4 linked regions of the Drosophila melanogaster genome follow. The protein of the gene in region 1 interacts with the protein of each later gene in a pairwise test. Each region holds a gene or a part of one and is shown on either strand. Other genes may lie near its edges.

What was found.
Region 2: the proteins of otp (region 1) and CG30324 interact in a two-hybrid assay, tested with the Drosophila melanogaster proteins (one large-scale study listed by BioGRID).
Region 3: the proteins of otp (region 1) and mid interact in a two-hybrid assay, tested with the Drosophila melanogaster proteins (one large-scale study listed by BioGRID).
Region 4: the proteins of otp (region 1) and H15 interact in a two-hybrid assay, tested with the Drosophila melanogaster proteins (one large-scale study listed by BioGRID).

What each region holds. Positions count from the first base shown.
Region 1 is NT_033778.4:20,899,596-20,907,332, reverse strand, and holds the start of otp (orthopedia), read left to right. Parts: upstream 1-3,918; 5' UTR 3,919-4,547; intron 4,548-5,039; 5' UTR 5,040-5,274; coding exon 5,275-5,305; intron 5,306-7,737. UniProt on the Drosophila melanogaster protein: May be involved in the development of the central nervous system.
Region 2 is NT_033778.4:16,287,086-16,292,732, forward strand, and holds CG30324 (uncharacterized protein), read right to left. Parts: upstream 1,149-5,647; 5' UTR 1,056-1,148; coding exon 561-1,055; 3' UTR 501-560; downstream 1-500. Other genes in the region: CG9068 (uncharacterized protein), read left to right, coding at 1-365; CG30099 (uncharacterized protein), read right to left, coding at 1,186-1,839; JhI-26 (juvenile hormone-inducible protein 26), read left to right, coding at 2,287-2,523, 2,867-3,666, 3,843-4,125; CG42372 (uncharacterized protein), read left to right, coding at 4,466-4,633, 4,689-4,727; CG30100 (uncharacterized protein), read left to right, coding at 4,730-5,170; CG7747 (uncharacterized protein), read right to left, coding at 5,225-5,639.
Region 3 is NT_033779.5:5,458,672-5,469,270, reverse strand, and holds mid (midline), read right to left. Parts: upstream 7,633-10,599; 5' UTR 7,354-7,632; coding exon 7,167-7,353; intron 5,453-7,166; coding exon 5,002-5,452; intron 4,052-5,001; coding exon 3,766-4,051; intron 3,378-3,765; coding exon 2,559-3,377; 3' UTR 1,661-2,558; downstream 1-1,660.
Region 4 is NT_033779.5:5,400,684-5,408,294, reverse strand, and holds the start of H15 (H15), read right to left. Parts: upstream 4,016-7,611; 5' UTR 3,416-4,015; coding exon 3,103-3,415; intron 1,385-3,102; coding exon 921-1,384; intron 612-920; coding exon 478-611; intron 1-477.

The sequences.
Region 1 (7,737 bases):
CACAGTTGCCCTCATTAGCAGCTTAGGGGCGTTGACGTGTTTTGCTTGCCGTTGTTGACAATGTTTGCTACTTGCCCGGCTGCATAATGTCCTTGTTTCAGCCTGAAAGACACTTCTTTCAAAAGCGAGCACTTCCCATCCGCTTTTGTTGGCTTCCCGAGTGGAACAAGAGGTTACTGCGAGATCGATCCATTAAATAATAGTATCATTGGCATGAACAGGAACAGAAGAACGCCTGTAGGATGCAGAGGGATGGAAAGCGGTCGGGGTTGGAAGTGGAAAACAAATCGTTAGATTGCTATCGGATGTCAGCTAATTTTGATCACTATCGATCACTCCATTCAATTCCATTGCACTGCCATCAGTCACTTAATTGATTTCATTAAGTATTTAAAAGATGAGCTAAAACACAAAAAGATTGGTATTATCATTCTAAGCAAGCGCAGTTTCTGATTTGGTTTTATTCAGATAAAAAGAATTAGTAAGGGTGACATAAACATTTCTTATTTCTTACAGCGCTTTGAGAGATTAATATGATTTGAAATTGGAAAAGGTCCTTAATGTTGCACTGGCGCCATCTACCGTTGGTAACGATGAGCCCGGCCGTTCCTGGAAACACAGGCAGATCTCGTTTTGACGATAGATGTCGCTGCAATGTGTTCAAAAGCGTGTCATTTAGAAGTATAAAATCTACAGAAAGCTTTTATTGAGTTCAACAACCAAAGCTTATTATATAAAATGAAATAAAATATAACTCTATTTAACATTGAATTATATAACATAATGAGTACAAAAGCGTAGGATCTTTCGATTTTAAATATTCACGTATATTAACCCTTCAATTTAATTTGTCCAAGTAAATAAAGTCGTTTGATTGCTAAGCAAAGAAAGCGAGAGTTTTTAGCTTGTAATGATAAAATATATACATATAGATATACGTATATATATATTTGTTAATGCTCATATTTGCCTGCACATATCATAGGAAGGACTATATTCTGCAGCTGCGAGCGAAGCAGAATCGAGAACTTTAATTCAATATTTGAGTTTAATGCTTGTAGTTATGTTTTTAGTTGTAAGCGCACTTAGCTTCAGACATTATGCCAATTTTCAGTGCAACTTGATACTGTATTGAAACTGGCTTAGAGTGGCAACAGCGAAACAAAGGAAAGAAAAGAAACAGACAAATGTTAAGCAAGAATAATGCGTTACACGAAACTGCACTAAGCTCAACATTTTGGGTTTTACACTCCTCAGGGTTTTTTTTTTCTTATTTATCTATCTTTTATGCGCCTCCTTGCAGCGCGAATCAAATGAAAGGCAGTGACAAAAGGATGTTTTTTTTTTGGAGGAGCAAACTTTGAACTCCACTCGCTCTGTGCCCGTCAAGGAGGCCAGAATCCCTTTTTTGGCCTAGACAAATTACACCCGAGCTCACCAGCGGACTCATCAGTCAGAGTCGAGAAACAGTGAAAATCTCTTTGGGTTCCGGGAACACATGGCAGCCTAGGAGCAAGCGGAGCGTGGAGTAGTGGGAGGCGACAAAAAATGGACTCCATCATGTACATGAATGCCCATGCTAATTAGGACTGTCCTGGGGGGACGGCCAACTGGACCTGGGCCAATTAAATGCTTAAGCTGACTTTCGGGTTCGAGCTTGTCATAAATTTTGACTGATTATGCGTATTCGTCTTTGTCGTAGCCCCTTCTCTGGCTCCTTCCAACGCCGCCCCAAGTGTCCCATCTCTTTCCACTCATCTCATCCTTCGGCTACAAGTACCCGTGACAACTGAAGAATTTTCTGCGGCATCCGAACCCCACCTCCCAAGTGTCCGACGCAATTCATCATTCAATTAAATTGACCGCAAAGAGCAGCATTTCACATCGCTCAGTTCGTCGACATCGCCTTGGGTTAAGTTTTTAAAGTTGCCCAAAGTCGAATCCTTTAATGCCTTGCCAGCATTTTTGCTGCAATCGATTATCCTTTCAATAAAATGCCGCGGAGGCGAGAAAAAAAAACTTTTACCCCCTCGAAATTTAACGCTTTCGCCCGCCGCATCCCCCTGACCCGAAAAATTGGGGATATCTTTTGAGGTTGATTTATGCGCTGGCTTAAAAGCGAATTGTTGTGAGCTGCTAACTGGAAATCTGTTTGACTGCACGTACTTGTTCTGGTTCTCCACACATAGCCCTCCACACTGAAATCTCCATCATCGACTTTCCGGGCTTAAACGATTGCCAAACAAAGTCAAAAGAGAACGTCGTGCATGCCGAAGGATTCGGAATCCTTTGCATTTGAGCTGCGCTTTTTTTTTCCGCCATGCTTCTTGGTATGCCGGTCCCGGCAACTCAAGGATTTCGCAGCTGTCCTGGTCACAGTCACTATCTGCTGCCCGGATTTGGCCAAAGTGATTTACGACATGCTCATGCCAGGCATTCAAAATGCGGTCTAATTGAGACTCCTTAGATGATTAATCCTTGGCTAATATGGCGAAATTCAACAAGTCTACGCCGCACATTTCCCATAAATTTATTTTTCTTTTTGCTGCCGATAACGCCTTTGATTAATTAACACACTCGAAGTTTTTTTATGTACCTCATGTGAGAAAAGGAAAAAAAATGAAAAGTGATGCATATGCTCTAATAAGTGAGCCCAACAACGAATTGAGATGTTATCACGATTTATTCGGCTTGTTTACTTTATAATACACTAACAGAAAAATTTCTGTTCGATGTTTTCGACATTTGTGTGGGATTGTTATAAGTATTTCACACGTTAGTATGCAAGTTTGTGAAATACAAGACTTAATAGGTTGTGTACAATTATCAATCTAAATTTATTACGCCACTTATTAAATTTTTTAAATTATTTTAGAACGTTTGTCACCCCGCACAAGTGTGAACCTTGAATTATGCTCATTGCAAAACAAACTACAACTGCTGCGATTTTTTGCATTCTTCTTGTGGTTTTAATTGCTACCTAGAGTTTTTAATTAACGCCCCCGATTTAGCTGTATGTATTTGTCGGAGGGAGAAGGCCAACATAATTTGCAGACTTTTGAGGGGCGGTGGGAGGACTTTGAACTGGGCGCAGGAAGTGGGGTGGAAATCCTTTGAATTGCGGTTGCCATGACAAACTCTTATTTCGCCCGGCATTCCGTTGTCTGGCTAATTCAACGTTTGTGCAGCATGCAAAATATTATAAAATTCCGCCAAATGTCGGAGGTACTTCCCCTCCAGCAAAAAGACGGGCAAAAAAAAAAAACGGAAACAAAAACTAATAAACGACAACAGGTGAGGCTGAAAGCTGACACGTGGCATCAACAACGCTGAGTAAGAATTCAAGGCGCATTTTTGGGAGGAGTGGACTTTCAGCAATAACTGTGGCCCAAGCGCCGGTTGCCAACGCGACCAGCTGTGGAGTATAGTTGAAGTTTTTCGAGGGGAATCGAGGTCTGTTTCGGCATCGATGATAGCCCGCCTATCGATAGGCGGCAGGACCTGTTATCGCCGAGGGCGCCAAAAAGTGCTATCGTTCGGGGCCACAAGCTCCCGAGTTCCCTCATTCGTTGGTCTGCATTGAGGGCGTGGTCTGGCCTACGCACAGCGAGTATAGCCGACCCGCTCTAGCAACCACTTGGCAGGGCAAGCGCGAACGAGTCAGCATGCTTGGCTCGACGGCAAGATGGCTGTGGGCTCAGCTAGCTGTCTCCTTTCCTCGCCCGCCCGGGGCACTGGCACGGTGTGTGCTCTTTGCGATTTTTGCAAATCAATGCGAGAGATAAGCCCGCTGGCAGAGATAACGCTTGACTTAACCGTCAATTGTGCGAGGGGGTGGCGATTGAATGCGGCGCCAGTGCGCAGTCGTTGTTGTCGAAGTTATCAGGTTTCGTAGTCAATTCGCTTTGATTTTTTCGCACTGCCCTCAAATGCAAGCGAGCAGCGCTACGTATACGGCGTACAGCTCCCATACGATACAATAGTGCGATCCGAAACAATTCGATCCGTTTCCGTTTGCTAGTGCCTAGAAAGCCGTCGCACTGGCAGAGACCATTAACCGAATTGATCTAACTGGGAAGTGCCAAGGAATAACTAAGTGAAAATGTGCCCGAAGTGTAAAAATGCTATCAATTAAACAGTAGAAAACAAGGACGAGTGACCACACCCGAAGGTGGAAGCAAGCCGTGTCCTCCGCCGGACAGTGTCCGGCTGTCAGTTGGTCAAACAGTTCATCAATAAACGATTCGACTTCCGTTTCATTGCGTGTCCCTAAGCTGTGCATGTCTGCGTGTCTGTGAGTGCGATTGTGTGTGTGTGCCAGCTGTGCGCGTGTGTGTGTGTGTGTGTGGGAGCTAAGGAAACTTTTCAACTTCCGGCCAAGTGACTTGGATTTAATTTCTTTGGCTTTTTTATGGTCAAGGCATTTAATTAATTTTACTATGGCAATTTGATCGTCTGCTGGCCTGAACTCTGACCCCAGCCCATAACCCTGTGGCATACACAAAAAGCAAGGAGGCGGAAAAAGGACGAGCGATAGGAGGAGCCAGGTGAGTCCTTGGCCAAATGAGCAATAAAACTCAATGCAAATGCCCACACAATCGAACTTCGGCAGAAGTTTCTGCGGTTAAGGAAAGTGAAACGGATTTAGTTTTCTGGTTAGTCGCACAATAGTTAAATTACCCAAATAGCTGGACATTTGACAGGGGTCAAAGTTCAAGAGAGGGCTGGGCCAAATATTCACAACACACGAGCAATTAGTATACTTAAATGTTTTGCCAAGACAAAAATCAAACATTCATTTATGATTCCAGAAATCTTGATACATTGTAAGCAGTTTTATTGCATATGATTGTATACTATAAACATAAACAAAAACTTTGCTAAACAAGTTAATGACCATTTTCTCTTGTCAATTTAAAAACTTTTAGTATTGAAAATTAACAAGTACTTCCAAAAAAGCACAAAGTCACCTATGTATGTTTATATTTGCGTTGAGCAGAAGCCACCCATCCAAAAATAACAAATCTGTTTACTTGCAGCCACACCCATTTCCACCGAACAATTGAGATGTAATTTGCACCGCAGGTGAACTTCAACTCCAACGTTCTGTGATAGACGAGTATACGAGCAGGAACTCCCATTGGGATTCCGCCACCACCAGTCGATATCGATTCCCGATTCAATCAAATTGGATCCCGAATCCTAACTTTCGGAGCAGCAATCAGAAACAGCGACAAACTGTCGACTCTGTCGATCCGCAATTTCTCGGCAAACATGCTGAACAATCTTGGGGCCAATGTGCTGGGTAAGTTACGCCCCCAATCCTCGATAGCGTTTTAAGTGCGGGCTGCGGGCGGGAGCTGCGTATAATGTTGCAATTAAGATCGCCAAGTGAATTGCGCTAATGTATAATAATGTGTGTATTAATCCATGGCATACGATCCGCCTGGCCATAATTAAACTAATTTCTTGAGCACACCCACAAAAGATCGGAGGGGTAGTTAGTCGTACTTCCGATCTGGCGATTGCCATCGCATCTCCCATGTCTGCTAAATGGCCTATAATTGAGACGTCTAACCAGATGGCGCCAGGTGTCGCGTGCATTTAGCAATAATTAAGTTGTGTATTTAACTAACTCGGCAAACCTTCTCCGATTCCCATTCCCATATGCCTATGCCCATTCCGAATCGAGTGTGGGTGGGTGTGTTTGTGTTAATTGATATAATTGCTCTTTTAAATATGCCGCAAATTGTGAATTACATTCACACATTCACCCGGCGCACGCACATAATTATCAAACTGTACTTGTGTCCTCATATTAATATATTAATAATTCCGAATACACATATGTACATATGTATGTGCGTGTGTGCAGGTGAATAAATTATTTTTACCACACTGTTGATCAACGATTCAAGCACTTTCAATTTTGGCAATCAATTTGTTGTTAGCCGTCCAACACTACCAGAAAATACAGTTTGCAAGTGCATTTGCAACTGCAACTGCAGCAGCCATGGATGAGTTATGGCTCGCGTTTATATTCAATTTTTATTGCCAGCATCCTTGCGTCCTTCGAAGCGTTGCCATTAATTACTTTTATTAATTTATTGCCATTTTTCACGCGCCAATTGTCGCCGCTCGGTGCACGCGGCGTATGCGTAATGTCCATAGTTGCCATTGAAGATGGGTGTTTAATTAAGGGCTAGCAAGCGAAACTGATCTGACGGTTTGCTATCTGCCATGGATTGCGACTGCCAAAGTTGGCTTTTAAAGTTTTCGCCGGCTTCAACTTTAGCCAGCTCCATTTGCCCACGAAGAACTATAAATTTCAATGAATCGCAGTGCGGAATCCTTTGGACAAATCCTGCCCGCAGTGCTGGAGTCTGCCATAATAAATTTCGTGAGCCTTTTTCCGAGTTTCGCACAACAGAGAGGCCAAAAAACATTTGCATACTGGGTGCGTGGCCGAGAGGGGCAAAAGTGGATGCCCCCCTAACCACCCCTTTACAATTAAGAGCAATTTGCATGCAAAAGAAATGGCAGAACTTTCCCCGGATTCGTATTGTCTCTCCCCTACTAATGCTTAATTTGCATGCAGCGAAAGGAGCTCGAATGGCGTTTCGTTTGGGCGCTTTTTTCGTGAGCCTCGCATTAATTAAATTAATTTCATGATTGCATTTGTAATTTGCACAGACCCCCTTCAGGTTTACCCCCACCCGTCCGTTGCATCCACGAAATATCTGCGCGTGCTTCGCTTTGTGCGTTCGGCATTTTTGCGGTGGCCTAGGCTAGTGAAATATGTGTGCTTAACCCCGCTGAACACCGCTTAACCCCCCACTGCCATATCCGCTTTGCATTGAAATGTTTTGCGGTTGCTGCGGATTCTGTTCCCAGTTGCGGTTAGTTGTTGGAGCAGCCCAGATTCCATGCCATGCCATGCCATGCCATGCCATTCCATTCCATTTCAAACCAAACCGAATCGGAGCGATCTGCATCGTAGTTTGCCAACTCGAGGCCCAAAGGCCAAAGCCTATGTCCTGCTAAAAACCGCACAATTTCCAAATTTCAATAATTATGCACATTGCTGAATGCACATGCAACTGACGGCGAATCTGGATGCAAGTGCTCGGCCATGAAAGTCCGTTTCTGGCCATTCGGCTGGCCATTCCGGCCAGGTCCATATATTTTGCGGGAGAAATCGCGTCGTTCGCTCCCAAAAACAGGCAAACTGATTTGCGCAAATTGTGCAAATTGCTTGCGCGATAAATTCATGTTTGCCAATTTTAATTAATTAATCGCTTTGTGCGGTTTTCATTTCGTTTCGCTCCTCTTTCTCGCCGGACCAACTAAAATGTTCGCTTCGGGCCAGATGTAAATCTACGTATCTGCGTCCTGTGTATCTGTGTTGCCACTGCAATGTTTACAGTTTCGTATTAACACTATCGCAATTTTGGCCAGGTAGCAAATGGAGGACCGAAACTAAATTACGATGATAGATAACAAAATTATGCCCTATTAGTACGCGTCCTAATGATTTGGGAACATGGATAGGTTTTTATGCCAGTTTTGCGGTTAACACGCAGATTTTGGAAAATGTTTGCCAGCTTTCTTATGTTCGATGGGAAAATTAGTAATGGATTTAGGCGTGAATTTAATTTAAATCAAAATTAAATTTTTGAAAGTATAAACACACTTTGCATCCAGTTAAAACTTTAATATAAGTAAGACAAGTGGTTA
Region 2 (5,647 bases), 4.6 Mb from region 1:
TGCGACGCAACGAGCGTAATGTGATGAAGGTTCCTCGTACCATCCGTGAAACGGTGGCTGCCAAACAGCTCTTTGAAAAACTCCTGAAGGATGTGCCAGTGAAGCAGTCCGCATTTACTCCGATGCTGGAACTCTTCGTTCTGCTGCACAAATACCAGGTGAAGCTTAGCGAGGAAACATTTGAGCAGGTTATGGGATTGGAAACGGCTTGGCTGCATTACCTTCAGGTGCTGGAGGAAGCGGATGAGATGCTGGACAATGAGGACAGTGAGGCCAAGTTGCTATTGGCCAAGCACGGCGAAAAGTTCAAGTTGATATTAAAGGATTTCCTGGAGGATTTCTATTCCAAATTACCCAAGAAATAGGAGTATCATAACTATTATCATAAGTGATAATCAATTTATTTACATTAAATTTAATTTGCACACCTACTAGCTGAGTAATGGGTATGTGATAGTCGGGGAAATTAACTATAGTGATTTATTGAAAAACATGCAAATACTTCTCACATTCCGAACTTTTATTAAACTCTTTTTTCCCCAATTGAGTCCTGCCCAGGATTACAAGTCATAGCAGAGCGATTTATTGGTACAGGGACAACCATCGATGCCGTAACGCCCAATCGGAATGTCCGTCTGGGTCTCCTTGTGCTGCGGTCCTGGCAACTCGTAGAATTTCTTACCAAAGTATCGATCCGGGAGATAGTACGATGGATACTCCGCCCTCAGCCTCTCGTGATCCTCCCGCAGAAATTTTGCCAGTTCGGGAGTAGCCCGTCGAGCTTCCAGGCGATACTGCTTCGGCTTGGCCATTCGGATTGGAACTTCCAGGTGGAGCTTCGAGTGCGGTATGTAGGACAGCAGCTCCTGGTCGAGTTTCACTGCCTGCTCTGCACGAATTTGTGCGCAAGTGGCACACTTGCATTTTCCACCATGGTAGCAGTACCGCTTTCGTCCATCCTCGTCCACCATCAGCAGTGGGGTGCAGATGGGCGACGGAACCGGTTGTGCCTCCGTCTGCGTGGCAACCGACTCCTGGGCGGGATCGGAAAACATTGTGGAAAGAGTGGGGTTCAAATCGGAAAGGTACGAACGATTTGGATTGCAGAATGAAACTAAATATCGGAGAAAAACAGATGTATTATCAGCAAACTCCTTGGCAACTAGATATCAAAAATTACAAATTTTAAATTAAACATTTTATATTGTGCAGCTTGATTAAAGTTTCCAAGTGGCTGGAGACACCTCTGCTGCATCCACAACTAAGTGCAGAGTGAGGATATGCAGCGGAGGAGTTCCACAGCCAGGTGAGATCCCCATGCCGATCACAATCTTTTATCCTCAATCGTTTATCCCCCGTGCAGTAAATGTTTTTGCTGAGATCCTTCTTATCCCGCTTCACAAAACCACAATCCGGACACACATGGGACATCGCTGGATTTCTTTGTGCAGCCTTCATCTGAAGATAGTAATCCTTGAGCTTTCGCTGACGCACTTCCTCGAAGAACTCGCGCATTTGTGGCGAATCCCGAACAGTGGGCTCCTCGATGGGCTTCCTACTCGCTTGCATTGGACAGACGACATCGTCGTGTTGAGCATTCTTCGACATTTTCAACTGATCGTGTCGGCCGCTCGTTATTTTGCCTTTTCGCGAAGAAGAGGACATATATGACATGTTATCCAAATCCGTGATCCTGATCGAAGCACTTGTCCTCTTTGGCACTTTGGATGGCATGCTGATATCTCGACTTTGCTGCGATCCATTCGTGAACTTTCGAACGTAGGTGTTGGCCCTGGTCATTGACCCGGTCGTTTTGAGTAAATACCAGTTGAGGCCCATTGGTAGTTGGTCGATAGTCGAACTGCAACGGTAGGATAGCTTTTTCTAAAACTGGAAATTTTGACTAAAAATATATCGATACCTGTGATTATGGAAAATAGAACTTAATCCAAAGGAATCATTAAACTTTGCACACAATAAACAAAAAAAAAAAACTAATTAAAACTAATAAATAGCGTATCCCCCTATCTTTGCGTCATGATATCTTATCATATCATTTTAACATGCCAAATTGCATCATGCTAATCATTAGGTAGGTACTGCTTCTCTATAAACCATAAAGTGCTTTTAATGATTAGAAAGCTTTTCATTTCCAATTCGCTCTTATCGTGTAATCTCTAACAACGAATGAGCTTTTGGAGAGTAGTACAAAATGAGCTATATGAAATGGTTTATGCTCATTCGCTATCCACAAGCGAAGCGGTTGGGATCGTCAGTACCGACGAAATGGAGAAGATCGAGGCTGAGAGGCAATGGCTGAGATACACGGTTCTTCCGTCAATTCTGAGGAACGGGCGCCTGGTGGACAACTACAGCGAGTCCAAGGTGACCACATTCCATGTGGGGGACATCGACATTGATGTAATTGGCCACTCGGAGGCCTTTATGCTAACTTTTTGCTACCGGACAACCATTAATTTTGAATACGACGGGCAAAAGTTTCAGCGAAAAATGGTGGTTAAGGTAGGTTTATTCCATTCACATAGTATAAATAAATCTTAAACAATCTATCTGGATATCTAAAAACACAACGAAAAGATTTACTATACTCGCGGAATTTAAATTATATTATATAAGTGCCTTAACTGCGTACTACTTACCAGTTTTGTTTTCCAGCAAACTCAGATAGCTTAGTGAGAGTGTGGGTTTTATGGCAAACATTGTGAAATAGAGGGAGGCATCTCAACAAAAGAACAAAGCGAATTGATTTTGAATTCAAAATAAATCACATCTAATGATGAAGTTTACTTTGGCATGCAATGACCCCAGAATACCAATAATTAATTGTTTTTTTTTTTTTTTGTAGAAAACACCTGCTATGCCACCAGAAATGTATGAATCCATACAGTTTGGGCCCCTTTTTACCAACGAGATAAATTTCTATACGGAAATTCTGCCAGAGTTTCAGAAGTTCACCGATGGCAAGTTTGCCGCACCCAAGTACTATTACGGCGAGTTGAACCAGCATTCGGCTGTGGCCATTCTGGAGAATTTCGCGGAGCAGGGATGGCGGGTCACCAAGGATCGTGTGGGTCTGAGTCTGCAGCACGCCATGATTGCCGTGAGTTACCTGGGAAGGTTCCATGGCTTTGCGTACGCCATGAAGCACAAGAACCCGGAAAAGTTTGCCCAGCTGACTGACAATCTGAAGGAATCTCGCTATGCCAACGATAACATTCATCCGGAATGGAAGCTCACCATGAAAACGAGCATCGATCGAGCGGCCAAGGCGGTGGCCACCTATCAGCCACAGATCGACGAGGAGTTTGTTAAGAAGTTCTGTTTCATGATCTCGGACTATTCGCAATACGGTAGGCAACGGGTGGCGCCCAGGGAGCCACTGGCCACCCTGTGCCACGGCGATTATGTGAGGAATAATGTGGCGTACAGGTACGATGACAAGGAGGAGCCGCAGGAGATCATGATGTTCGACTACCAGACATTGCGAGTCTCCTCTCCCATGGTCGATCTCAACGTCTTTCTAGCCGTGTCCATTTTTGCCGAGGTACGCGATCCAAACTTCGAGGCCATCTTCTGTGAATACACCTTGGCGCTTCATAATAGCTATAGGGAGCACGCCAAGGAGGAGGTTCCGGATTTCCTAAGGTGAGTTGTTATTATTATTCATTATTCATAAGCTTTTAAAATTTCAAACAAGCGATATGAATGCAAATCAAAAATCTAAAAATACTCATTAGGTGCTCGATGTGATAAGATAAGATAATCCTGTAAAGCTTTTTACTGCCAAGAAATAATATAATACTAATTACGCTATTTCTTAGTCGCGGTGAGCTTCTGAAGGAGTACGTGCGTTTCCTGCCGTACAGCTTATCCATATCGGCCAGTTTCCTCATGAGTTTGGTGGATCCCTTGGACATCTCGCCCGAGGAGATGTTCGCCTTGCAACTGTCTGACGAGGAAATCATCGAACGGACCATGAATCGAGGTGGAGAAGTTGTGGACAGGGAGGTTGCTCACCAGGTTAAGGAAATGCTGGAGCTGAGCCAGGCGACAGGGGTGTCCATTGATGACGGCATTGATCTTGACAAGTTGCCCAAGGAGTAATCAATTGATAGCCTAATGTAAAAGTATTCAGGCATTTCAGGTATAGCGTAACTGTAGATAATAAAATAGATGTTAAAGTGACATGCATTACCTATTTAGAGTTTAATACACTGTTTAACCGTGACTAGGAATTTTTAACAGTGGTGGGGGAATCGTAAATTGTGGGCTACTTAAGATTTATAATCTTATCATTGCGTTTTTTTCAAATGTTTATTTTTATAACTGTTGCTTTTGTTTTGATCGCACAACGCCGCAGCTGATTGTGTTTTTGCTGAACTGCCAACCTGTTGTAGTTCTGCGTTAACCAGCACTGTCACACATGTGAGAGTGAAATATGAAAATGGTTCAACCTTCGCGGCAGCAAATTTTGCGTTTATACAAGCATTTAATTCGTTACGGCAATCACCTAAAGCTGACCGACAAGAACTACTTTCTGGGAAGAGTTCGCCACGAGTTTCGGGACAACCGTTCCCTTACGAATCCCGTGGAAGTGGAATTCAGCTTTAAGGTAAGTGCCACTTTCGTATTTCATAACTGATTTACAAAATGAACTTATATTTCAGCGCGGAGAGACCCTGCTAAAGAAGGGACGCATTCTGTAGGAATGCTGCGAGGTCTGGTGCGATTCCTGGCGCTGCCTCCGACCGCTGTGCGCTGCAAGTCCAATCTGGACTACTCCCGCTTTCCCGTGCTTCAGGAGTCGGATATCGAGGAGACCTTCATGCGCGGCAGTGGTCCTGGTGGCCAGGCTGTCAACAAGACATCCAACTGCGTGTTCTTGCGCCATCTACCCACCAATATAACGGTCAAGTGTCACACACATCGTCTAGCATCAAAGAATCGAGTGGAGGCTCGTAAACTTCTACTGGAAAAACTGGACGTGCATCTAAACGGAGAGCATTCAATTGCCGCGCAAGTCAAGGCACAAGAGCAGAGAAAGTCCACTGAGCGGCGGCGGCGACAGGAAAAGCTGCAAGAAATGAAGAAAAGCTGGCAGGATAGAGAGCGCACAGATGGGGGAACCAAATCTACCGATAAAGAGTGATAACTTTTACTTCTAAAACGGTCTTTTAAATATTTATTTTTGGAAAACAATGGGTTACCAACTGGAGAAATCTCCAAAACCATTCGCCAGTTTCTTCTTCTTGGCTGCTTGAGCGGATGTAAGTGGCGCCTCTGGCTTTTTGGCCACTGTCTGAAGTTTCAGGTACTTGCCTACGCCCTCTCTGTACACCTTCAGTGGCTCCTTCATGCGCTTTTGCTGCTCCTCCTTCTTGACAATCTCCTCCTTGCCGGCCGCCTCCTCCTCGCGCTCCTTGGCCAACTGTTCGGCTGCCTCGGCAAATGGATTCACAAAGACCTGTGAGGACTCAATGATGATGTCCTCAATTGGTCTGTCCTTGTTATCCACCTCGATATTTTCCATCTTTTGAAGAGTGTCTAATCCTCCGACAAGCTTTCCAAAGATGGTGTGTTTGCCGTCGAGATGTTTGCAAGAGCGATAGGTGATAAAGCTACGAAA
Region 3 (10,599 bases), on another chromosome or scaffold:
CAGGAATTGAACTTTTTCACGCCCCAATACGCCATAATTCACTTGAAAAATATGTTTATTTTTAATGGGTTCAATTTTCAAATCGATTTCCCTTCGCCGGCATAAATCAATTCCGGCCCAGCCCATTCACGCCCCCCAATTAAGTGGCTCAAATATTTACAAACGCCCCCCGGGAGAATTTAAATATTTTGTCACTGTTTGTTGGACACCCGACATTTAACCTTAGCCCCCAAGTCCGCCGCTCATCAGATTCCCGACTTCCTCATCGTATAGTACATATATTTATATTTATGGTGTGGTATGGTGTGGCATGCTTTGGTGTGGGGGTAGCAGAAGCCGCCGAGATCCACAGCTGCGTCAGCATCATTTACATTCAAATTAAAACGAAAACGCCAAAAGGAAATTTATGCCAAGGGAGCCGAGAGTTGAGCCCAGAGTTTCCCCATCTTGTTCTTGTCTGGCAAATGATGAGTTTGTTACCATTTTCGTGTGGGGCGGCGCTCTGTTTGTTTTGACACTTGGACTACATGGATCTGCGGCGGTGTTGGCCTATAAATTACCCCGACATTTGACATATGTATATGGGCGCAGGGCCCATGGTAGTGGTTGCTCCTGTAAAGATCGCCGACCGGCGATAGCCTAATGTTTTGTTTGTTCTCGTGATTAGTTTGTAATTAACTTCGGGTCCCACATCGAAGATCGCCGTCCAGAGATATTCACATAATGTCCGAGGGAAAGTGAATGAGCAGGTATGGAAATTAAAATTTGGCAAGTGAGGTGCCAGATAGACAAATGCCGATAGCACCTTTTTCAATGAGTTCACCATATAATTAGAGGAAGTGTTATTATATTTGTATACTCTTACCCCTCAACGCCAAGATGTTTATCCTCCAAGTTAATTTCATTATAATTAGGCAGAGAGATGGGCCCCTCGAGGGTCAGAGTATATATTTAGTTATCAAAAATGCTATTATATCCGATTAGTTTGGGCCCTCAATCAAAATGGGAAAAGTGGAAATTTTCAAAAGGCCTTCAATACGATTTTCGTACGCTTATCTACACCAGAAACTCAGACCCAAATCCAAATCCCGACCCAGTGCTGCCCAATCATCCATCAAGACTCCACTTAAGACCCAAAACTCCGGCGTGTCAATCGAATTTTCCGAACACCCGAAAGACTCAGTGAAAAATTTCACTTTGAGTGACCATGAAAATGCATTCGTCGAACACGAGAGTGTGTATCTGGTTATCTGTATCTTTGTATCTGAGCTGCACATATTCCCAGACCCATTCAGTCTGTTTTTCAATTTGTTCTGCCGACAGGACGACACTTGCACCCAAGGAATTACGCCTATGTGGAACAGGATATATCTGCGATATTGTGTGAGAAATTCAAACAGGATTTCTGGCTACTTTGCATGCCTGCGAACTGAAGTGTTTGTCAGGGCATTATAATGCGTAATTTATGTGGAGTATTTCTTATAGAGGGAAAGTAATTTGAGTCTCGAAGATACTCGAGACGTGGGGAAAATTGTTGAAAAATTATTATAATTATTTACCAAAAGCTTATAATGCTTTTTAAAACGAAAACTGAAACGTTTCAGATCTATCTGTTCAAATATCGAATAAAAATTCCAATTAAAAAAACGTTGCTAGTTTTGGTTCACATATTTTTATTTATTTTTGATTGGTTTTTGTATGTTTGTGTTTTTTTTTCTTCATATTTTTCGTTTAATAATTTTTGTTTAAATATTTTTCGTGTTTTCACTTTTTTTAGCGTTCACATTGAATACATATTATGGTTTTACTCTCCTTTAATTTATGCTAAATAAATCTTTACGTTTTCGCCGGATAAATATAACTAACTGAAGCGTCTATGAATTTACTGTTAATACTATGAATATATCATTATATATAATAGCATTACTAACGATTTATGCTTACACTACATAGCTATATATAGTTTACAATCGTGCAGCGTTTTATTTATGTATATGTATATTTTTTTGTTTTGCTTAGTTTTTGAGTGAATTTCGTTCTAACTTTACACTGAGATGAGTTTTCGAACAACATTTAAACATTTGTACAATAAGTTAAACTAGATTACAAAAATTGTCTAGGGGAAAGTGAGAAGAACTGTACAGCTTATACATAATTTAAGATTTTTACAACAAATAGAGAAAAGTTTTTCTTTGCCTTCATATAAACAACAAATAATTTACAACATTCAAAAAGATGGCTAACCTTTTTTGTGTAGTTTTCACTGGGCTTAAAGGTCGTCTAAATTGAAAAATAAAGCTAAAGTTTAAGCAATTTCATTGACTGAAAAGAAACTCAGCAGTAATATTTGCCAGAAACGATCTTTTTTATAAGAAATCATATCGGAAAGCAAAATATTGTATTAAAAACTTTTTGACGATTTTTTTTTTACGTTTTTTTTTAAAGTATTTTCTTAGTATTCCAGGAACTTTTTTGCATTTAAGAGACGACCTTTAACCCCAGTGCTTTCACTTTTTAATACTGCTCGTGGCAAGAACTTGGTGGCGTGGGCTGTTAACTTAGTGGGCGGGGCTGCGTGAGGCGTTTACCGCGGGTGGCGAACCGGCGGCAGAGGAGGGTGGCCCCTGACCGCCTGGCAGTTGGTACGGACTGAACCGCTGATACTGGCGCGGTCGCATATCGGGCGACGGCGATCCCGACGACGTCGACGAGGGCGTGGATGCAGTGGGCGGGGGTGGGGGCGTCCGGTTGGCGGCCATCGCTGCGGCTGCCGCCTGCGCCTGCGCTTGGGCCTGAGCGGCGGCTTGAGCGGCGGCAGCTTGCTGATTGGCGCTGGCCAAAAAGCCGGCGGTAAGTTGGGGCCACTGCTGCTGGAACATGTGGAAGGCGCCCAGGCCGGGGGGTGGCGGAGGTGGTCCGGCTGCCGCTGCTGCCGCTTGGTACATTTGCGGCATCATCAGCTGGGCATAGGGGGAGTTGCCGCCAAACATTTGCAGATGCTGGCGTGCCTTCTCGAACAGCGCCATCGAGGAGGGATCACCCTGAGCGGCAAACTGTTGCATCAGCGGATCGGGAAAGAGGCGCAGTGGCGAGCGGAGCTGCTGCTCCAGGAGCAGCGCCTCCATCGGATCGCGATCGAAGTCGGTGAGGCGGGAGGAGTCGCGGAAGCCCTTGGCGAACGGATTCGAATCGATCTTCAGCTTGGTGATCAGCTGATTCTGATAGGCCGTCACCGCGGTGAATACGGTTTCCGGGAATACGTAGGTCTTGTGATCCAAGTCCTGCAATTCCTTGGGATTCGACGGAATGCTCTGTCCATGGCTCAAACGCACCAAATGAATTCTGGGCTGGTAGCGATGCATCGAGTTCAAAACGATCTGGAAGGGAATAGAAAAGAGGGAAAAGGTTTCATTGTAGTAAGTCGATTGAAATTTACATAGCTGGGAATTAGGAAAGTGCTTAAATGATTGAAAGTTATCTTTAATATTCTTTAAAACTTTTCATAAATTAGATAGAAGTATATTGTCCTAAAATTCACTTCTTGAATTGAACACGAACATTTTCCATTTTCACAGCAAAGCAACATTAATCAACGATGGTCTCTAGACTCGCAACTTGGCGAATATTTCTTCGTGTTGCAAAATTATCAATTATTTAGCACTCGCGGCTAATCGCTACCTCAGCATCTGAATGTCTCAGCAGCCGAGTATCTGCGCATCTGAGTATCTCAGTACCACAGCGTCTCGGTATCTCAAGTCAACTCACCTGTCCGTTCTTATCCATTTCGTTATTAGTCAGCTTCACCTTCTCGAAGGAGATAACTTGTTTGCGGAGCGCCTCGCAGCTGAAGGGACTGTCAGGATGGGCGTAGAGGCGTGCTGGGGGGGCGGGGTCGGCCTTGCCGGCCACCAGCCATGCGGAGCGATGGTAGGCGTACCGATACCGCTTCGAGTCCATGGGGATGATGTCCATGAGGACGGCGTAGCGATCGGCGGGCTGGATTTGCCTCAGCGGACCCGAGAAACTGACGCGCACAGTGGGGAACATGCGTCTGGAAGAGGTAACAAAGTTAAATTAATTCGATTAGATTTTTGCTTTCATTGAATGCTCCCTTTTTTTGGGGATTGCTATTGCCACACAGCTAGTTAAGTCGACTATTTATGGCCCAGACACTGGGGCTTCAAGCTGATTTTTTCCCATATTTTCCTTTTCGATTCTCCCTGCTTTGACAAGTGCAGACAATGAAGACAAAAGCGAAACTCTTCCTTCATTTTTTGAGTCACAAACCTGTGTATCCCTCTTGTCTACATCCTGTGGTTTAATGTCCCTCCAAAACCCGGTGACATAACCTCCGGCCAAAAAGGCCAAAGGCGGGCATCGGGGACCGCCCTGATGTCTGCGACTCCGAGGTGTGATTTTTACAATATCATTAAGGTGTATATATATCTATCTATATGTGTGACCTGTGTGCGTGTGGTCAGGTGTGTGGGAGCAAAGGTGTGGACAACCCGTGGTCATTTGGATTGAACTTGTTCCCATTCTCCCGCTGACAACAGCAACGCCCATAGCTCTGATTTTCTCATTTTCTTCCTGCGCAGGTACACAAATGTTTCCTTTTTTTTTGCACAGTTTCCCTTTTGGAGGAAATAGACCCCACACATTCACTCAAATGGCATGAAATTTTTGTTGACACTGCAAAAACCATTTGGCGAGCCAATTTATGGGCAACTGACTTAGGGTGAACATCTTTGATGATTGAACACGCAGACACTTGATTGTTCAATAAAGAAGTTTTGCGGAAAAGTGATGAATGCAAAATATTTTGTGAAAAGAGTATATGTTTGGGTAATGCCATTTGGCAGCAACTTTTACCTCCCAAAATCTCCCACGTTGCTCCACCATTTAAAACTAATGCCTGTTTGCACTAAACTCGACTGACTGACTGATGGTTGGATGGATGGCTGGATGGATGGATGGCTTGTTGCTGGTTTGGATGCTTACCTGCCCGTTTTGGTGATGATCATCTCGGTGCCGAGATCGTGAAAGCGATCCCACAGCTCTTTGGTCTCCAGATGGCACTGCACCGGCTTCAGATCGTCGCAATTGCAGGAGCCGACAATTTTGGGTGCCTTCTGCACCGGTTCCGGTGTTAAACGCTCCTCGCTGTCCTCCGTTCCCGGGGATTGGGGCGGTGTGGAGCAGCGTCCTTGGCTGCTGGTCGAGCTGGTGTTCAGTTGGGATTCGGCGGAAGCTGTTTGTGCCACGGCGCCACCGCTGTTGCGACTCTTGTGTGCCACATTGTTGTTGTTGTTGTTATTGTTGTTATTGTGGTGGTGCTGGTGATGCTGGTGGTGCTGATGATGGTTCAAACGACGCGCCTTAGTCGGTGGCTCCTCGGCATCGCTGCAGTCGACCACATCAACGTCAACCTCATCCTCCACCGAAATGGGACCTTAAATGACACGAGAGGAAAAAGCGAAAATTGAAAATTAAATCTGAATTACACCGTTCGTTTTGGAGGTAATGCAAATTAAAATGCAATGCACATGGGAAAAAGCGTTAAGTAAAATCTCTAAATTGAAGCCTTCAATATATTTGGCACTAAACACTTTAAAGATCACAATGTTTCCTGAATTTTTCATCACTTTTTCCTTCATAACTTGTGCGTCTTATTAACGATTTTTCCGTTGTGCATTTGGCCAAAAACCGAGGCCGTGCTTCCGTTGACAACATTGAGTGGTGGAGCTGATTTCGCGGCAGACAGCGTGGAGTCGTCTCATATTCTTGGAGTTTCCGCTTCGCTTCGCGTTTCAATTGCAATGAGACAGTGCGACGACGACCGCTGGCTTAATTGTCAAACTGAACACAAATCGGCAATTAAACAGCCCGAAACTCTAGCTGCGATTGCTCTTTTCCATTGCATAAACAAAAGCGGAGGGCTTTCGTTCAAGGTGTGTGCGCAAAAGTTGATGAATAATATTTTTGGGCTTATCCATGGGCGAACTCTCACATACGCTTTCCATTTTCCATAAGCCGAAAATGGTAACAAAATGATGGGGAGAACTAAGCAGCCCGGTTTTTTTGCAGGTGAGCCCAGACGGTAGGTGTTAAAATGCAAAGTAAGCAAACGGAAAACGGAAAGCGACCACAGAAAACAAAAAAAACAAAACAAAATATGAAATTAAAAAAGCTGCATATTTGATAAAGAGATCGTAAAATACGAACACCTCGTAGCGTTTTTGTTTTGATTTCGGCCGTCGCTAATTTTCTGCGCCTCGTAAAATTAATAAAATGAAGCACATTGTTGAAAATTAATTAACATAATTAGCAGCCTTTGTTAAATATGAATTCCGCGCGATTAGATGCTGTGCACAATTTGCATATTATCATAATATCGGCCACAAAAGAGCGCTGCAAGTGTTTGCTAACAAATATCTGGATTCGCGATCTTTGGCTCGACTTAATTGCGAATGCCGTCGGCCAGAGAGAACTAGTTTTTTCTTTTTTAACGTGGCCGGAACGCCTGCTAATTGTCATTAGCAATTAAATGGAACTCTGCGCACCCAAAGCGACAACAGTAATTTAATAGATTTGTTGTGCAATCAATTAGCGATTGTCTTGTGGCTAATAATGTTTGCATTCGCTGGTCAAGTTTGCGGTTCTCTTCTTGGGCGTTGAGTTGTTAATCACGTTTAATTTGAATTAATCGTATAAAAATTCCATTTTTGTTTTAGCAATTTCTAGTTATTGTGTGCTGGTATGTTAAGTAAGTTTTTGTACAGAAAGCACTGCTAGGAGATAAGTGAATATCTAAAGTTACAACTACCTACTATGATTAAAGATTGTTGAATTAGGGAACTTATAGCTTGTCAAATGAAGTTCTAAACAAAAGTACCCTATGGTATTTGAGACTACAGAAATGAAAGTATCTTAAAGATATTCTACATCTCATCAATGAATCTTGCTGTAAGTCTGTTAAGCCTAAAAAAATCTTGTTTAAAAATCACTATATAATCGAAATGCTTAATATTCAAGGCATTAAATTTCTAATGCATAAAAATATATTTTTAAGAACAAATTGTTCCTATCAACCGATTAATGATTCTGCCGCTTCCCACAGAATTCCTTTCTTATTAAGGATATTTTCAATATGTATCTGAACTTACTTGCACTGCGAATGGAGGACTCCCGACTGGAGGCATCTTCGCGAGCCATGATGGCGGCGATGGAAAAGTCCGTCGCTGAGCCGGCGGCACTTTTGCTAGCCGTTGTTGTTGTCTGTCCACTGGCATTTGGTGCTGCAGGGGCGGCGGGCACCCCGTTGCACAAATACGGATGAGATCCAACCAGCATTTTGAAGGGTATGATGTTGTTCTTAATGGGGCTTTAACTAGGGAATACCTTGGAAAGGTATTGGGGTATTGTATCTGGTCACTTTTCAACACTTGGCACTTATAAAGCTAGATGCATCTTTAGCTTTGGTAACTCGAGGGGTATGTGTATGTTTCAAGGTGTAAGTATCTTGTATCTTTATATCTCTCTTGCTTTCTTTTGCTTATCTTTGGCGCACGCGAACTGAGAATCTCGCGGACTGAGTGTGTGCGCAACGGAAGGCAGGCGACGACGAACTGAATTGTGTCAGGAAAATGTTGCCGCTGAGAAGCCAAAAACGACGGCAGGCGCAAAACTCGGGAAACCAGTTATTCCTCTTATGGTCCCTATGTGTGCAAGCGAGACCACCCTACAGCGAGCCGCGCCAGTACGAGTGCAAGCGGGATAGCCCTATAGCCGCACACTCTGAGTGAAAACGCCACTCGCTCTCTCGTTTTCCAATTGGAAAATCGGCGGGGGAGTGAACGTGCGACAGAGAGAAAGGCGGCGCTGTCAGCAACTTGCGCCCCTCTCTTTTCTTCGCCTCACCTCTCTCTCTGACGAACGCGTCATAACTCATTTACAATTAAAAATGTCGGCGCTTTTGGCCTTCTCCCTCGCACCTCTCTATTTCTCCATAGCGAGGTCTCTTTCTTTTTATTTTTGCCTCTCTTTCTCGCCCATTTATGAAGTGCCAACGTTTTGCTTGCGGTTTTTCTTGGTCTTTTTTTTTAAACAACTTTTCGCCGTTGTCGTCGCATTCCATTTCCTGTTATCTCCTCTTCTGACGTTTTCTTCCATCTTCCGTCTGTTCCATTTCGTTTCCAACACGTTCCGTGTCTCACTCAATTCTGTTTTGAGTGAGTTTTATGTCTCTGTTTTTTTTCTGCAGTTGCATCCCGTTGTTTTTCCTTTCTTATTTATCTGCAAGGACATGGACCTTGAGTCAAGGTTATTGCAATGGGACGTTGGGAATTTATTAGTTTGAGCTCGAGAAATTTTTCTGTGCTCTAAAAACATGAATAAAGAGTGCGAAAATAACTACAAGTTTATTTAAAATGTATATGCAATTTGAATTTATTTCGGTAAAGGGAAGAACATATTTTAAACAATTCGCTTAGTACATATTATAGAAGTCCATTTGAAAACATAGTATATCTATAAGCATTAGTCAAGACATTTTTATTTGTAAAGCTATATTTTTTTATATTCAAGAGGATATGATCATGAAATTTAGATTATGGCGATTCAAAAAGTTAACAGGGATATTTTTCCGTTAGTAATTATATACAATTCCACACGCTGTATGATAGAAGCTAGTCCTCTGGAAAATTCCCCCATAATATTTACAGATGTCAACAAATTGTTATGTTTCCCAGGCAAAAGTCAAGACCTTTGTCAGTGCCAATTAACCCGCTAAAAAATGCAAAGAAAATGCGGCTGCGACAAGGAAACTCGAAACAACTGACAGTTCGTCACATTCATTACGTATTGCTCGGATTGCCAATTGCCATGACGGAAATCCTGCGATCCTGAAAAACGGAACGCGGAGATCCAAACTAACTAACAAGCTGACTAATCCCGCTTATCCTGTGCGAGGAACAAACCGTCTTGTTGTGTGATTTTTGTAATTTGAGACATTTTTTAAGTCGGGTAGCGACAAAGTGGGCATGTCACTTTGACACTTTCGCCCTGGGAGAAATGGTGAAAGTGGACGGGGAGGGATGCGTCGTGTGTGTTCTGGTTACAATTGCAGTTAAGTTGATAGCTATAAAATGTTTTATCAGCATTAACAAATTCAAAAGCAAAACGGACGATAGCATTATAGATTGGGATAACTTTAAATACAATTTTATGACACAAGAACGCTGGTTCTAAAAAGTAGAGTGCATACTTTGATTCTAGAAAAAGGTTTACACTTCCTTTCATAAAAAGAGCCTATGTTCCTAATATGTTGGCCTTGTCTGTGCATCTACATGTGTGTCTTTTTAGGTGGCAGTCCCGTATGTCACCAAAATGTCAAAAGCCAAGGAAAACACAAGTTGTGAAAACAAAGGGCGGTCGATCTGAAAAAAAAGTGGCCACTTGGCACTTGTAAAAATAAACAATTCTGCTTGTTAATTAGTGCGGCTAACTGTCCTCGTTTGACTTTCTCCTTGTTATGTCCTTTCCCTCTCGAAATCTCAAGTATTTGGCCCTCGGCTTTGTCGGCAATTTATAATTTCTTCGATACTTTTCCCTTTCTCACTTAACGATCGCTTTGGGTAATCGAATACTTTCACTTTGAATTTGGCCGACACAGGACTGTGGAAATTTCCTCTGGTCAGCAAGAAGGACATACATTTTCCTGCTCCAATTTTACTGGGCGGTCACTTTGATTGATGATTTGCGGCAATAGATAACTAATGTTTTGAGCTGGCTTTAATTTCATTTTTCACTCTGCTCACTTGAGATTCCCCTGCTTTGTCTGCGGCATTTCCGCTTCTTAAGTTCAAATAACACTTTCCGGGGCTTCGATTGCAAAAGGGTTCTTCTTCATCCAGGGGGGTTTTCAATTCGTTCGTTTTTCGAGCACTTGAGCCGCCCTGAAGTGGGAGGCACGTGTTCGTATTATTTTTATTACCATTTCCATTTCTTTTGGGGGTCTGAAGACGAGGCGGCGGAGAATTTCCGCTTGGCACTTGCCTCGACTCCAAAATCTGCCCGATAAGCACTAAAAGCGGAAGCAACCCAAGCACTATTGAGTTTCTATTTATAAAGCGGAATTGCAGCAACATGTGTGCTGGAAATGAAAATGATATGGGGAATTATGCACTCTGCATTGTATGATTACTTGTAATACATTTTATATAATTTGATATCACTCTTTGTAACGATAAGAAAAGTCTGTTTGTTACCTGATATCATTTTGTATCTGTAAATTTAATTTATATATGTACATATTCGTTCAATCTTTTAATCTACCTATTCTAAGTCGAATTACAAATTTAATAATTCATAATCCATAACAGTATCTTGATGCCATCCCTCAAGATCCTCAAATCACATTAGGCATTTCCAGTTTCTGGTGCCGCATTGTCTGGCAAGGATATTTGCCAAATCATCTTTCATCCTTCACGCATATTTCCCTCGTGTCCTGTGGCCTGCCCGCAAATATTTACCAAATATTTTCCATTATTTTCAGTTGTTTGCACTGAGAACGCCCACAAAAAAAAAATGAAAATACAA
Region 4 (7,611 bases), on another chromosome or scaffold:
CCCAGCACTCCGCCTCACCAACACCGCCGGCAAATTGAATTCCAACGAATGCGCTTAATGAAATAAAATGCAAGTTGCCGGGGCTATAAACGAAATGTGATCGATTATCGGGAAATTTCTTTCAATAACTGGCTATGTCGATAAGTGGAGTTTTCAAATGTCTAACTTGATTGGTTGGTGGATTGATTGAAGTGAGTTTTGAAAGATCAACAAATAAGAAAGTGAGAACATTTAAAAAAGGAAATTCAACTTAAATCTCATATAATATACAGTATACTTCAGATAAGCTCACTCTGTATATATAGAATATCCCCTTTTAAATAGAATAAAGTAGGCATATATCTGCGCTTGCATCTCTGCTAAAAATCATTCATGACTGCATCAATGGAAACCCCTGGTTTTTCCAGCCTACTCACTTAGGTGTAAACCCCTTAATTTATGCATTTGTTGCCGCCATGGCAATGGCACTGCACTCACCTGCCCGATTTGGTAATGATCATTTCAGTGCCCAATTCATGGAACTTATCCCACAGCTCCTTGGTCTCCAGGTGGCACTGGACGGGCGTGAGATCGTCGCAGTTGCACGAGCCCACTATCTTGGGCGTGGGCTGCTGTGGGCGTGGCATTGCCAAGAGAGATGAAAAAGAAGGAGTAGAGAATTAGGAGGCGATTTTAGTAGGACGCTCGAGGAGATGCATATTTCTTTCGCCACACTTAGTTGGTGATGCATACACACAAAGAAAATCATATCTACTATATATAAAATCTATTATATAAGATAATATAATATATAAGATAGGAAATAATCCTATATCAAATTTTTTGTACCTATATCTTATTTTATAAATTTTGCTAATAATACTTTTTGCTAGCCACTTTTTCTAGAAGCAAAAAGGATTTATGTCTCTGTGCAGCTTTACCTGGGCTGGTGATTCCTCTGGCGACAGGCGTTCGAGTTCCTCCGGACTTTGCGAGGGCGGGGGCGGCGGTGGCGAGGGCGTGGCAGCGGCTCCCACTGCGGCAGCAGAACGCCCTCGCTGGCTGCTTGATTTGCTGTTGGTGTTGCTGTTGCCTGAGTTGCTGCTGTTGTTGGTGTTGCTGCTGTGATGATTGTGATGTTGGCGTTGTTGCTTGCCAGTTGTTGCGTGGTGATGTGTCTGCTGCCTTTGTTGTTGCTGCTGCTGCTGTTGTTGCTGTGCAACACGCAATGCCTGACGCGCTTGTTGCTGCGCCTGCAATGCTGCCGCTGCAGCCGCTGCTGTTGTTGCCGCCGCTGCTGCTGCCGCAGTTGCCGACGGCATTTCCGAGTCACTGCAGTCGACCACATCAACGTCAACATCATCGTCCGCATCCTGGCCTGAATAGCGCTCCACAGATGCGGGACCTACACGACCAGAAATGAATGGGGGGCAGAATGCGTCAGTAACTAAGTCCCAATTATGGAAAAACAACTACTTGCAACTACAAAACACAATCATTAAAAATTAATGTTTGATACAAGTAACCAAAAATAATTAATATTAAATATAATGATACTTAGAGCTTATAAGTTTATAAAAAAGATTCCTACGAATTTCTAACAGTAAAGAATGTGTATTTAAGTATATCATTTCTTAACAGACATAAGTGCTAATTGTTTGTTGTCATATTAGAAGAGCATATTCTTTCAGTGCACTTAGAAAAGAGAGACATCAGCGTGGCTCGTTAATGTGGGAGTTGCTGCTGGGCTGCAACATGTTGCATGTTGTCGATGACGAGTCGCAACAGCAATGCCAACGAGAATCCAGTTCGCGACCAGATGCATTTTACAGATTACGCCAGAAATTCAATTATTTGCTCAAAATGCAATTTCATATGTTAATTTCGTGTGTATTTGTGTGCTGGCATTGCCAATGAAAATTGCCAATTGAAAGAGAATGGTGTGCACGATGGTGGGGGGGGGGTCGGTTTTCACACTAATGAATGCATCTGTTTGCGCTTTTGTCTCTGCCCAATTATGGCATCTAAATAGTTTTGCATTCAGAGTGTATATACAAATGCGATTATACATATATATGTATCTGCTCTGCGCCTGTCATGTGCATTTCCCAACCCCTTTGGCGCATTCAAATAGGCTTTGATTATTTTATTGCCGCGCATTTGCTGCAATTATCAAGTCATCAACGTTGCATTGTCATCAATATATAATTTATATTGCACAAAAAGGGCAGCAAAAAATGTGGAAAATATAGAAATGTAATGCAGCTGCGACAGTTTTTCAAGAGGTGGGTAATAAAGCAAGTGAATATTACTAAGCAATCGATTACATGACTCTTTACCAAAGCCAATGAAATATGTTTATATATTTTCCTAACTGCTTTACGTGTTTCTAGAAATATATAGAAATATCAACTACATTTCAATTTTCTTGCTAGCACACTAACCTACTAATTTGCTTTTGTTCTTCATCAAGTCTCAAGTATTCAAAGCCAATTTGCTACACATATATTTTTCTGGCAATGCATTTTGTTTCTGCTCTTATGTGTGATTTTATCGAGTTCTATTTCGATTTTGAGTGTACTTTCCTAATCTTGTATCTGAAATCTGAATTAAAAAATTCACATAAATAATACATAAATGTGATAATTGGCTCTTCGTCACAGCTTGATTATTTTCAATCATTTATCAAGCCTTTCATATTTTAATCCTGGATCGTAAATATTTATAGTTAAATCAGCAGACAAGCCCGTAACTTGGGATAAACATCAACATGCTAGATATGCCAGAGTTAAAATCTTTTCAAACTTTGACTGGCCAATTTATTAGTCTCAATCGAAAGAATGGAATATTGAATATGTTAATAGAGTGAAACTTGTTTGTAGTAAGGAGCTGAATATGAATTCAAGAATCATAAGAAACATACGTTCATGAATGAAGCGATGGGACTCAAATGAAGATTGGTTTTTAAGCTCGTTTCATGCAAACTAACGATATCAAGATACTTATTGTTCTGAAACCCAATCGAAAATGAAGCCCTAAAATGCATTGGCTATTTTTGAACAGCTCTTGAGTCTAGTTTGCGATGTAGGCCTGATATTTTAGTGCGGGAATTACTTTACTCACTCAGACTGCGTTCCGAAGGTTCGCGGCTGCTTGGGGCGTTTCCGCCGCGCGCCATAATCGCCGCAATTGAGAAATCCGTGGCGAAGGAAATGTTGTGCTGATTGTGATTGTGATTATGATGGTTGTTCAGCGGATGGTGATGATGATGGTTCTGATGATGATGATGATGGCTGCTGCCGTTGGCTATGTTCGCCGCTGCCGCCGCCGCTGCCGAAACAATCTGCTGCTGCAGCTTCGACTTGAAGTTCTGCGTCTGCGACGGCGAAGGCGTTTGCTGCGGTTTCGTATTCGCCGGCTGATTGCTCAAAAGCATTTTCGGGCCGAGACCAATTGGTAATGCTGCTGCACGGATTTTAGCCAATTCTTGCCAAATATATGCTCTCAAAGGTTTCGGACTTTCTTTCCCGCTTTTGTTGGTATTTTCTTTATCGTTTGCCTATTTGTTGCCCATTATTTGATATGTTTGTATTTGCATTAGTTCTACTATTTTGGGACTTGTTTGTTTAATGCTCTTTAAAATATTATATTCGGATTTAAACTGAATTCTTTACAATTTTCTTCAACATATTTGTTGATTTTTTGCCGGCTTTTGCTTTTAATAATTTAAACTGCTTTATCACACAGAGTTGCTTTGCTTCCTTTTTATATATGTATGTATGTTATTATTCTTGTGCCGTTTGATTTTTTATTAAATAATAAAATATTATAAAATTTGTCTAATTTTTTTTTGCAAATAATGTGTATTATTTTTTCCAACGTTTTACGACACACTTTGCGACTTGACGACTTTACGCCCGTATTTGCGGTCTCCGGTTTTTCGTGCTATTTATCGTAATTTGCGTATTCTCGAGTAGGAAACGGGAAATTCCGGAGCGCCGTCGCTGCTTCACAGTCACGCAGCTGACCATTGAATGAATCCCAATTCGCTTTTCGCCATGTAAACGCCAAAAGCGCCAAAGCCAAAGCCAACAAAACCAACAAAAAAACGCAACGCAAAAATCAACAACAAATACGAGGACGCCGACAGCGAAGCCAACTGCGACGTCGACTGACCCCCCAAAACAGAAACAACAACAGCTGATGTGTCTTACGGCGAAAGGTTTTCAACACCACGTAACGCGACGTAAGGAAACATTTCCAGAGAACATGGCCCGAAACTTTCCTTACGTGACGTAGGCAAACCGCCAGTTTAAACCGCAAAAGAAATATGGGAAAAAATACGGTTTTCAATTAGACTGGTGTGAGCGAGATGGCCACACATGCAGTGCATTCCCATGCTGCTTGCAGCGACGTCGGCGTCGAGGCATAACTCATTTCCATTTTCCAATTCGAACACACATTCCCATGCACTCAAAACAATACCAATTCATAAGCTAGCCGCGTGTTAGAGCGAGACAACTCTATATAGCCGTATTTGAGTGAGAGCCTTTTGTTGCTGCCATCTCACTCGTGCCGCTAGAAGCAAGGGAGCGCGAAAGAGAGCGCGCTGAGGAGTTCATAAATTCGTCATTTTGTTTTTGGCTGTTGACAGTTCTTTGCTTCATTGTTGTTGTTGCTATGGTGAGTGTGAGTGGATTTTGTTGGTCGGGGTTGGGGGTGTGTTTCACCGCTTTTCGTCGACTATTTACAATTATTCTCAACTCGGTCCGATTCCATTCCGTTTCTCATTGGCTATTCACCACAGCGCACTGAGTTGAGTGGAAAAGCGAGTGAGTTTCGTTCTAGTTACGTTTACTGTATAAATTGAGAATATTGAAAAATTCTTTTAATAATATTTAATTTCATGGTATCTCTGAAATTAATATTATTGTTCTTGATTACATATTTTTTAAGTCTTAAATAAACGATTTTATATTAAGAACTAACCTATAACATTGAAATGAATGTTTTATAAACATAACCTTATAAAGCATATTTAAACATGGTAGGGAAATCTATAAAATTCAGGAGAGGAAATTAATGTAAAAAATGAACAAAGGGGTTATCCCGCATTTGCCATCATTTTATTGTTTGCCAGCATTTTATGTAAAATATTTCGAAATGTTTTCTGTTTCCACATTTTTCTCATTTTATTCAAAAAAATTGTACAATTTTGAGCTATGAAAAATGTATTGAATTGTTTCGTTACAAGTTGTATTTTCACCAAATTCCAAGAAAAATATATTTATGTATTTGTATTCTTGTAATTATTCATTCCCTTTAAATGTCCTTTAAACATCCTAACCATCACCCTATAATTTTCCAGACCGTCAAGAGAAAAAACAAAAAGTCCTGCGACAGGACTTATCTGAGAAAGTGTCTCGTGTGCTGGGTCCTCCAATTGAAAAATCATAATTGAATATCTGGGTTCCTGGCACTCCTCCCTTTTGTCCGCCCACCGGCGTATGTAAATGTTTTTAATTTAAATGTTTGCTCAAAGGAAACAACAAAAGATGGTTGGAAAAAAAATGCGACTATGGCGTGTGAACGCAGCAGAAAATTATAGACCCATGGAAAAGGGAGGAAACTGGTGGGGTGAGGGGAAGGGGCTCTGGTGGTGCCACCATCTTGTTTCCCTCCGTCAGACTTTTTTCACAATTCGTCAGCTGCGCCCTTCGTCCTCCTAGGATGATGTCCTCTTTTCCCAGCACTGCGAGAAAAGTTGAATAATTTCGCTACATTATCGAAAGTGTAAACTATTTAAATTTTATGTCTTGTATGTTCTGGTTACAATACATTTATCTTAAAATTTAGTTTTGGTAACTTTTATATTAAAGTTTACAACATATTGATATGAATGTGTTTATTATCTAAATATTTAATAAAAATGTTTAGTCTCAAATGCAAAATTTAAATTCAAAATGCGTCTTATTTTAGTTTTCCCAGGTGTAATCGTTGTTTTTGTCTCTGCGGTTTCATTTGCATGCGATTCGTGGTTGCCAGCCGATGTGGCGCACAATTGAGCCACTAATGGTGATGTTGATGGTGGTCGGATCGGTGGAGGGAGTACATTCGGCTATATGTGGTATCTGGAGTATAGGGATACAGACAGGGTGGGCCGCAGCTCGCTTTGTTTGCTTTGTCGCGGCTCGGTGACAATTTTTCAATGATTTGTTTCCTGCCCTGAAATCTCATTTGCATATGCCACCATATTTTTTCAACTTTCCAGGTTTTTTTTTGGGGGGGTTTTCCCTGTTTCTATTCCTGCTCCTGCCCTTGCTCCTTTTTTATATATATATTTTTTTTTTCAGGGGGAGTGAAAAATTGCAATCGCTTTGTTTTTGTTTTCTTTGTGGGCTGGTCTCGGACAATTTGAATTTGATTTAATGAAATTAAGAGGGCGTGTTTTCCTAATAGTCATTTCTTTAAATAGTTTTCAACGATTTTCGTGGAAATCAACGAGCTAATGAAGTTCGTAAAGTGCGGAAATGCGTTTGGAGTTAATTGAGAAATTTCAACTTTTATTAAAACACCCCCTTTTTATGTTATTTTATGGGAGATTTAAACCTTGATATTTAGATTTAAAAAAATAAATTTTCAGATATGTTTTTCTATTTTAATTCTGTGAACATTCTATGATGATGCAGATTTTGAGCAATGAAATATTTGTATATGAACAACACCGTCTTTCTTTTAAAACACGTAAAGCCCACAAAATTGTGCCTTGAGGTATTTGCATAATGTTGCTGCATCGGAAAATCAAAACAAAGCACTTCAAAGTTATTTATGAACAAAATTGCCAAAAACTATGACTAATCCTGGGCAAAGAAATCGGAGAACGTAGCAAAAAAGTTGGAAGAGCACGGAAAATCCAATCAGGGGATATATACTCTAGAAGCCATTGCGATTCTCATTGAATGGAACAGATTTCAAATAACCCATGTATTCCTATTTTGTTTACGCTTTGACGGGATTACGGCAAAGTCGCATGCGGAAAAGCCGCAGAATGGAGCACGGTTTTCCCAATGGCTATTAGTTTTTATTTGGGAAATTTCACTATTTTCCTTGCGTTTGCTCCTTTTGCCTACGTGCACTAAATGGCCAATAGGCGGGCGGCGGTGGGAAATTGGGAAAAAGGCGGAAACTAAGCCGCCAGGACATGGCCATCTAAATGCACATGGCGGCCATATTGTGCCAAAGGATATATCAATTTTATTGCCGCCCGAAATCGAAACAACATGTGTGTTCGAATCTATTTTTTTCTCTCTGCCCTTTTTTTGTTTTCCAACCTCCCCGCTATTGTTGCATACGAATTGCGTAGCGAATGGTTTTGTTTTCCATTTTTGAAGTCGCCCTCCTGCCCAAACGTAATCCTTTGCGCCAAGGCAAACAGAGAATTAATAATTGCGAACAATTGTGTTTTATGGCCATTACGGCATCCTTGAGAGCCGATCTGCCCAGCTGAGTGGGCGAAGTGCGAGCGGAGCGTGTCACTCGAAGGCAGGTGCGACCACGTCCAAATGCCAAGGACATTGGCAATTATCCTTGGGATCAGCAAGAGTGCAAGAGAGCGACGGAGTCGCAGACGAG